2 linked regions of the Mus musculus genome follow. The protein of the gene in region 1 interacts with the protein of each later gene in a biochemical or structural test. Links are inferred from orthologs where the notes say so. Each region holds a gene or a part of one and is shown in the gene's direction. Other genes may lie near its edges.

The links.
Region 2: the proteins of Chm (region 1) and Rab7 are reported together in a solved structure, tested with the Homo sapiens proteins (2 studies listed by BioGRID, with this or other methods). The link is inferred for Mus musculus from reciprocal best matches to the Homo sapiens genes CHM and RAB7A.

What each region holds. Positions count from the first base shown.
Region 1 is NC_000086.7:113,108,751-113,112,570, reverse strand, and holds part of Chm (rab proteins geranylgeranyltransferase component A 1), read left to right. Parts: coding exon 1-22; intron 23-521; coding exon 522-642; intron 643-2,169; coding exon 2,170-2,395; intron 2,396-3,820. UniProt on the Homo sapiens protein: Substrate-binding subunit of the Rab geranylgeranyltransferase (GGTase) complex.
Region 2 is NC_000072.6:88,042,163-88,046,533, reverse strand, and holds the start of Rab7 (ras-related protein Rab-7a), read left to right. Parts: upstream 1-1,263; 5' UTR 1,264-1,461; intron 1,462-1,516; exon of another isoform or gene 1,517-1,597; intron 1,598-4,371.

The sequences.
Region 1 (3,820 bases):
TCGAGAAGGAACTGTGGAACAGGTACTGTGCTGCTCAACTCTCTGAGACAAGTTACTATTACTCATGTTGGAAGGATAAGCAACACTTACTATTTCCTAGTAAGGCTGAGTTTCAACTTTGCATGGTGGTTTATAAATCTAAATACAAAATGAGCCCCATTAAAACTTCTGTTTTGTTTTTGAACATTTATTCCTCAGGTTGATTTTAATGTTGAGGAAATGCTAGTTTCAGTCAGCAGTACCATATTTGAATTGTCATTTCTTTGCTATTAGGGGTGACGTGCCATTGCCCTTTTAAAGGCATGAAGAACAACTTGGCAGAATTAAGTAACAGAGCTCTCAAGTTAATTATCTCTGTAGTTAAGAGAGATGCTATTAGAAGTGATGAAAGGTGACATGAAGCAGCGAGAATGGAATGGAAATGATAACCTTGTAATGAGGAAAGGACTAAAACGTGGAATCCTGGAATACTTGTGTCAATAGGAAGTACTTTGAAACCTTCACTTTCAAATGCCTTTCAGGTCCCCTGTTCCAGAGCAGATGTCTTCAATAGCAAACAACTTACTATGGTAGAAAAGCGAATGCTTATGAAATTTCTTACATTTTGTGTGGAATATGAAGACCATCCCGATGAGTACAAAGGTATTGCTTTCCATTAACTTGTATTTTCTGATTATTAGAGATTGTAATTTTAATATGCTTCCTCAGGTTGGAAAACAACTGATTATTCTAAAATGCATTTTAACTCCTAGATCTAGTAAGCTATAGAAGCAGGCTATTTGAATTCATTTAAATGAAATACTGAAGAAATTTGTTCCTCAGTCATGCTAGACATATTTCAAGTACTTAGTACCTCTATGTAGGTAGTAGCTATAATGCAAATATTTTCAACATTGCAAGAATGTCATGCCATCTCCCCTTTATAATTTTTTAAAAATTAAATACTGTTAACTGATTATTTAATCATTATATGTATGGCACTAGTAATTGAAGTGAAGACTTGGCTCATGATATAGTATATTACTTGATTCTTGATATGACATGCCTTTTTTGTTATTTAACCTTTAATATGTTGTTGTTTTGTTACTACTACTACTACTATTACTACTACTATAGTAATAACTTGCTAGATGTCATTTTTCTAGACTGCTTTTACTTGGAAAATTGAGCTATTCATTTGATTGACATAAGTGCTGTGTCATGTATAGGGAAACCTCCAGATCTAGAGAAGCTGAGGTTTGTCTTCTTACTGTATTCTTAAGGCCAGCCATTTTAGCTTGTTCAAAATTGATTTCATTATTTTATTGTCAGCTATTTTCTAAGTACATTGGGATGGAAATATTGTGCAAACTTAAAGTACTTTGTTGATAATATATAAAATTACATTGAGAATTACATCATGATTTGTTTTGATGGAATTATGAGATTCTAATTCTTGCTATTATAGCTTTAAGGCAGTGAATACCAGCTTTTTCTTTGCAGTACCTGGACTTAGAGACTCTCAGGAAGTTCGTTTCTATCATTTAATATTTCCATAAAGGCCTGTTTTCTGGCACAGGACTGGGTCCTCCCACTAGTTTTACTTGTTCTCTCTTACTAACAGAAAGGATTAATTAGTTTGATAGGTCTTCCTTATTATTTGATGTGTGATTGTCAGTATGTTAGATTCTAGCAGCCACAGACATATTAGTTTCATTAATTTAGTAAAACTTTTTATCCTACGTTTGATGAACGAAAGTATGATGCAAAATGTAACAAAAGTGACATTTTTATTAATGTATTTTATCACTTCATTCCATTTTATCTTTAATATTTTTAGATATAAATGTTGACATTACTGTATAGTTTAAATGCTAATGAATTGAGGTTATTGGCATCCACAGAAACACATTGAGTTATTTAATACCTCCGTGGATTTTCACATCAATAAATTACTAAATAAAGATTCATTGTTTAAAGCTTTAAAAACTATTATTGATTCATTTAGGATAGTGGAGTTATTTCATATTTTGTCCTTAAGACCAATAAATAGTTCATTTCCAAACTGTAGTAATAAGGACAACTTGTGTCCTGTTTGAAATCTTTAACAGGCCTGGCTCTAGTAATGTAGGGTGCTTTTAAATAGATATTAAACTTGATTTTAATCGATAAATTTTCATCTTTTCATAGCATACGAGGAAACTACATTTTCTGAATACTTAAAAACTCAAAAATTAACCCCCAACCTACAATATTTTGTCCTGCACTCAATTGCAATGACATCAGAGACAACAAGCAGTACTGTAGATGGTCTCAAAGCTACTAAAAAGTTTCTTCAGTGTCTTGGGCGGTATGGCAACACTCCATTTCTGTTTCCTTTATATGGCCAAGGAGAACTTCCACAGTGTTTTTGCAGGTAAGTTATGATTTATATCTTCTAAAAGAGTTGTATGGAAAACATAACATGAAAATAAGACAGAAGGGAGCTGGGTAATGTATCCCTGTAATCCTACCATGTGGTGTGAAGACCGCTCTTGGCTACATAGCATGTTGAGGCTAGGCTGAGTTATTGACGCTCCTATCTTAAAATAAGTCCGGTGAAGAGTGAGTATATGCACACATAGTTCATTTTATTTTTTGTAAGTGATTTAATGTTTACTTCTCCATCTAAGTGGTATATCCAATTTAGCCTGATTTTGAACCTAAAATATTATATATTACTGTGTGTGTATGTATATGTATATATGTTCTGTTTCCTCTAATATTTAACTTTCACGTGGTTGATTAGTTCCTTGTGTTAGTTCTGTGGATTCATTTTAGCGTCATATTTTCTTTTGGAGTGCTTCCTTTGACCTGAGCACTCGGAATTTTAGATACTTTATATTGCTGGAATTACTTGGTTTTGTCAAGGTACTGCACACTTGAGGTGTTCGTATTTCCTTTCCAGTACCTTCACTTAGGTATAGACCCCAGTATATAGCTCCATAGTAATACTGGCACAAAACATTTGAACACATTATTGTTTTGTCCAAGTGCTTATTGCTTGAAGCTTTGATTTCAACCCTAGTCTTGTATGTGTTTGAGGGGTTCTTTCCTTCAGTATCAATGGAAGCATGTATTCTCACACTTATATCTCCTAAGTCCTTCAGTGTAAGAATGGAAGTAGCTAATTTCTGAATATTATAGGTCTCTTTCTTCCTTCTGAATAGGGAAAAAAGATAGAGATGAATGACAGAGTGTTGGATCCTTAAGACCATAGTTCGTCGCATCAATTGAAATTACAGAGGGACTTGAGATCCTCCTAAGTCTGCCTCTTTAGCATATCCTACTGGCGTGTGCCACCCTGATTATATTTAGGAATATATATATGTATATACAAACACTTATATGCATTCCGTAACAGTTAGTAAAAAAAAAAAAAAAATTAAGGCCATGAATTTGAAGGAGAATGAGAAGAGGTGCATAGGAGGGCTTGGACGGAGGAAAAGGAAAGGAGAAACATATTAAATATAATCTCAAAAATAAAAAAAAATAAAGGTTAAAAAATAGGGAAATTCTTCCAAAAATCATAATTCAACACCATTCAGACCTCTAAACAGTTAACAATAATTTCTATCACCAATATTCAGTTGGTGTCTATGATGGTTTGTATATACTTGGACCAGGGAGTGGCACTACTAGAAAGTGTGGCCCTGTTGGAATAGGTGTGTCACTGTGGGTTTAAGCTTTAAGACCCTCATCCTAGCTGCCTGGAATCCAGTATTCTGCTAGCAGCCTTCAGATGAAGATTTAGAACTCTCAGTTGCTCCTGCACCATGCCTGCCTAGACACTGCCATGCTC
Region 2 (4,371 bases), on another chromosome or scaffold:
CAACATGAGGTAGAGAGACAGGGCCTGAACCAGCTTCCTGCATCCCTACAACTGTGGAAAGTCTGACTGGACCACCAGATTCATATGGGTCCTACTATCCGGTCAAATTTTAATAGATAACCCAGATAACTAGTTGCTGAAATTTGTACCCAGCAAGTATGTGTTTTTTTTTTCCCCAACAAGAACCAAGAACTGTCACATATACATCTTTGCACCCTACTTTGTCACTTCATATTTCTTGAAGATTTCACTTTGCATATGAATATACATAGACTTCCTTTGTTCATATCTTAGTTTCAAAGTATTCAGTCAAATGGCCAAGTAATAATTAACTAATGATTGAAACTGAGCAAACTCCTGTGTGTGTGTCTATTATATCAAATGGTGAGGATCTTGGCAGAAAGGTCTTGTTTTCCCCTATTCCTTAGGACCTACAAACCTTCTCTATTCCTTATATGCTAGAACATGTACTAGTGTTGTGGGGTATTCACCAGAAAAGACTACTCAGATATGGGTTTAAGCTAAGAAATGGCAGCTGGTTACTGCACTGGGTGTTCAATACCCCAGGACAACCTGAGTCTTTCTCAGGGTGAGCTTTTAAGCACACAAAAAAACATGTTCTGGGTTGACATACTTCAGTTAACAAGAACTGTCAGCCATAAACAGAACTACAGAAGCTAAAAAGCAAGGTTAGTACATTTTGAGACTTCCCCAGAAAGATATGGACTTTGATGGATTAGGCCTTTGTTTTAGTTTTGGTGGGCGTGACACTAAAATCAGCCTCATGTCTCTTCAGTTCAGCAACTCCTTAGCTCTCTTTCCATTTTCCTGAACCATCTGCCCTGCACAGGTAGCTCCTATTTCATCACTGGGTCTCCAACACTGGGGACACTGTAACTGATCATTTCCATCCACATTAGAGATTGTACCCAGTGGACTCAGAAGACCCTAGACTATACCCTGCCTGATACATGGCTGACTGACTAGCGTGTTCCAGAGGGGGACACTCTGGAAAGACCAAGTGACTCTCCCTCCTTTAGCTCTGTTTATAGGAGCGGGGTGGGATGAGGGGGGGGGACACCACTGCATTATCAGTTCTTGGCCCAATATGGTGCGCTCCAGCTTCTGCACAGCCTTCAAAGATGGCAGCCCCCATCTAGAAACGGCCATATTTAAGCCCCAGATGCCAGGCTAGGGCCTGACGCGACCGGAACGTGACGCAAGGTGGAGGTGGGGCTCCTCCCTCCAACCCTGGCGTCGGGCGTCTCGTGACAGACACTTCCGCTCGGGGCGGCGGCGGTGGCGGAAGTGGAAGCAAGGCCGGAGCTTTGACCATAAAGCCCAAGGCGGCGGCGTTGGCGGCGGTGTTTGGGGCCGGGCAGCTCCGAGGAGCCTGCTGGAGCCGGAATCGGACGTCTCTGTTGCGGCCTGCGTTGTGTCTCCTCCTCCGTTGACCCTGCGGTGAGCAGCGGGCCCCGGCCGCCCTTCCCCCGCCGCCGCTTGGGCCTCCGGGCCTGGCGTCCTCGGCGAGCCGAGCGCCGAGCTGGGCCGGGCCAGGCGGGGCGGCGCCCGGCGGGCGGAGGGCGATCGGCGATCGGTGGGTGGCGGGTACGGGATCCTCGGGCTGGGCGCGTCCCCACCGGCAACCTGCTGGGTGGGAAGAGCTACCGGCCGGCCGGCCACCGAGGCAGTGCTGCCAGGCGCGTCACATGCCCCGGCCCGCCGCCGGCACTGGGAGACAGGAGCTTTCAGGGTCCTGCAGGGTAAATCCCGTTTCCGAAGTTCCGGGAAGAAGGACCTCCCGAGTGCCTTTCAAATGGCCTGATGTCCTCCTGGCTCATAATCGTGCCGATGTTGAGAGTAAGGTTGTGAAGATTTGAGATTTCTCGGCTGCTGGGCTGCGTGGCAAGACCGCACAAATTGCCCTGTTCTCCCAACAGCCCCTCCGAAGCACCGAGGCAGTGCCTACTTACAGAGAAAGCGAAGAACAGAGAGGCTAAGGCACTCGACCAAGGTCACACCGCTGATAAATTTCAGAGTGAGAGGTTGAAACATAGGCAGCTAGACTACTTAGCACTTACTGGCCTCTGGCCTCTTGTACTTTAGATGCCCCCAAAGCCTGCCACCTGTTATCTGCCATCAGCACCCCCCTCCACCTCCTGTCTAGTGATGTCATTTGAGAGCCTCTTAGTCCTACCTTAAAGCCATGTTGTATTTGTACTTGTGACTTACAAGGCATATTACAAGGCATATAAGGTAGTGTAGTGTCATCAAACCAGAAGATCTTGAATTCTGGCAAGGTATGTATTGGATTTGAATAGGTTTCTTAGCCAGCTCTTTTCCTTGAGTCAGGTCTGGCATGCCTACTGTGTGCACCTTTCTACAAGAATTTCTACAACAACCTAACCTGTTGACTCTTCACCGTTGAAAATCTTGTGTTTTTGGTTTTCCAAAGAATAAACTCTTGTCTCTTTCTTGTGACTTCAGCAACTGATACCCACATGATTGAGTTAATAAAATCTCTTGTTGGCATATTTCTCTTCGATCTTGGTAATATTGGATCAGAATTGAGTGTAAGAACTGGAAAGTGAATTATAACTACTTCTGAAGCTGGCCAGACTAAAGTTTGGTGTCCTTGGTTGTCAATAGTTTAGTTTGCTACCCGGCCTGGTATACTTACGGGCTGTAAACCTATGTAATGAGTTTAGAAGAGGAATCGCTAAACGTGATTCCCTTTTTGTTGTATGATATTTTTGTCCTCCCTCGAGGGGAATTAGATGCCACTTCGTCCAGTGCACTGTCATGTGTGAGCAGAGGCTGGAGAAGACAAGTGGCTGGCACCTTCATTTGGGAGATGTTTTTCTTCCACATGTGTGTCAGGCATTACTGGGTCCTGACTCAGGGAAGAAGGCATGGCTGGGTTGTGTCCTCAGAGAATTGTAAAATGATGAGTCTCAGAGCCAGGAGCTGTTTAGGAAGGAATGACTCGGATGTAGAAAGAATCGGAGGCTTCTGCAAAAAGTAGTTTTTATTTTATTTTATTCCCTCAGGTGAATCAGATATCCAGATGTGTATTGTTCTGGCTAACTACTTGAAATATTTGCCAACTCTTTGTGTGTTGTGTATGCATGCACATGTGCATCTGTGTGGGCCTGAGGTGGGTATTGGGTGTCTTACTTTACTGCTCGCCTTTTTAATTTTTAATTATTTACTTTTTGAAGACAGGGTCTCTTCCCTGACCCTGGAGCCTATCCACTGCTAGCAGGCTAGCCAGTGAGTGCACGCATGCGCACACGTGCACACACGCATGCACACACGTGCACACACGCATGCACGTGCCCGAGGGTGTTGCAGATGCCTCTGAACCTACCCTTTTTCTTTTTCCTTCATTTTTGGGTTGTTTGTTTGTTTGTTTGTTTGTTTTTTTGGTTTTTCTAGACAGGGTTTCTCTGTGTAGTCCTGGCTGTCCTGGAACTCACTCTGTAGACCAGGCTGGCCTCGAACTCAGAAATCTGCCTGCCTCTCCTTTTCTTTTTCTTGATTTAAATGTGGGTCCTGGGATCTGTACTCAGGTCCTTACACTTGTCTGTCCGACAACTGAGCCAACCTCAGCCCCCATCTCTGTCAGCATTAGGTTTGCTCCTGTAAGAGAGGGCCATAGTCTGGTGATAGTCTGATCACCTCTTTTAAAGAGTAACCACCAGCACTAAACGTGATTCCCTTTTTGTTGTATGATATTTTTTGCCCTCTCTCAAAGGGAATTAGATGCCACTTCGTCCAGTGCACTGTCATGTGGGAGCAGAGGATGGGTTTTCCTTTTTAGCTGACAAGAAAGCTTACTGTCGCTCTGCTAGACTTAGTGATGCATGCTGGAGAAGCCCTGTGTCCTCTGCTTGCCATGGCTCTCTGGTTCCCTCCATTCAGGGGCCCAGGTTTTACACTGAAGGTAGAACCTCAGGAGTAAAGGAAGGAGGGTGGAACTGGCATGCGCTCTAAAAATAGCTTTATTAGTGAAGTCTTCCAGGTGACTGCTGACAACCACATGGTGACTTTCCTGGTTGCCTTCTTTTTTTTTTTTGGTGTCAGTTGTGGTTCATATTCAGAGATCCTAACCCTGTAAGAGCTGTCCTTGTACGAAAGGAGTTGTGAATCAGTTTCTGGCTCCACCACCAAATGAGGCAAGGAAGTTTGAGCATTGGCTATGCTGTTACTCTGTCTTCAGAGAGGTCTGCACTAGTAATACTTTTACATTTGTCAGTAACTTTCTATGAAAATGTGGTGTGAACCCAGATTCAAAGGTTCAGTCGTCATCTTCTGCATCTATCCTCCCTGGGGTCTGGCATCAGTCTTTAATTTTTTTCAATGATAAAT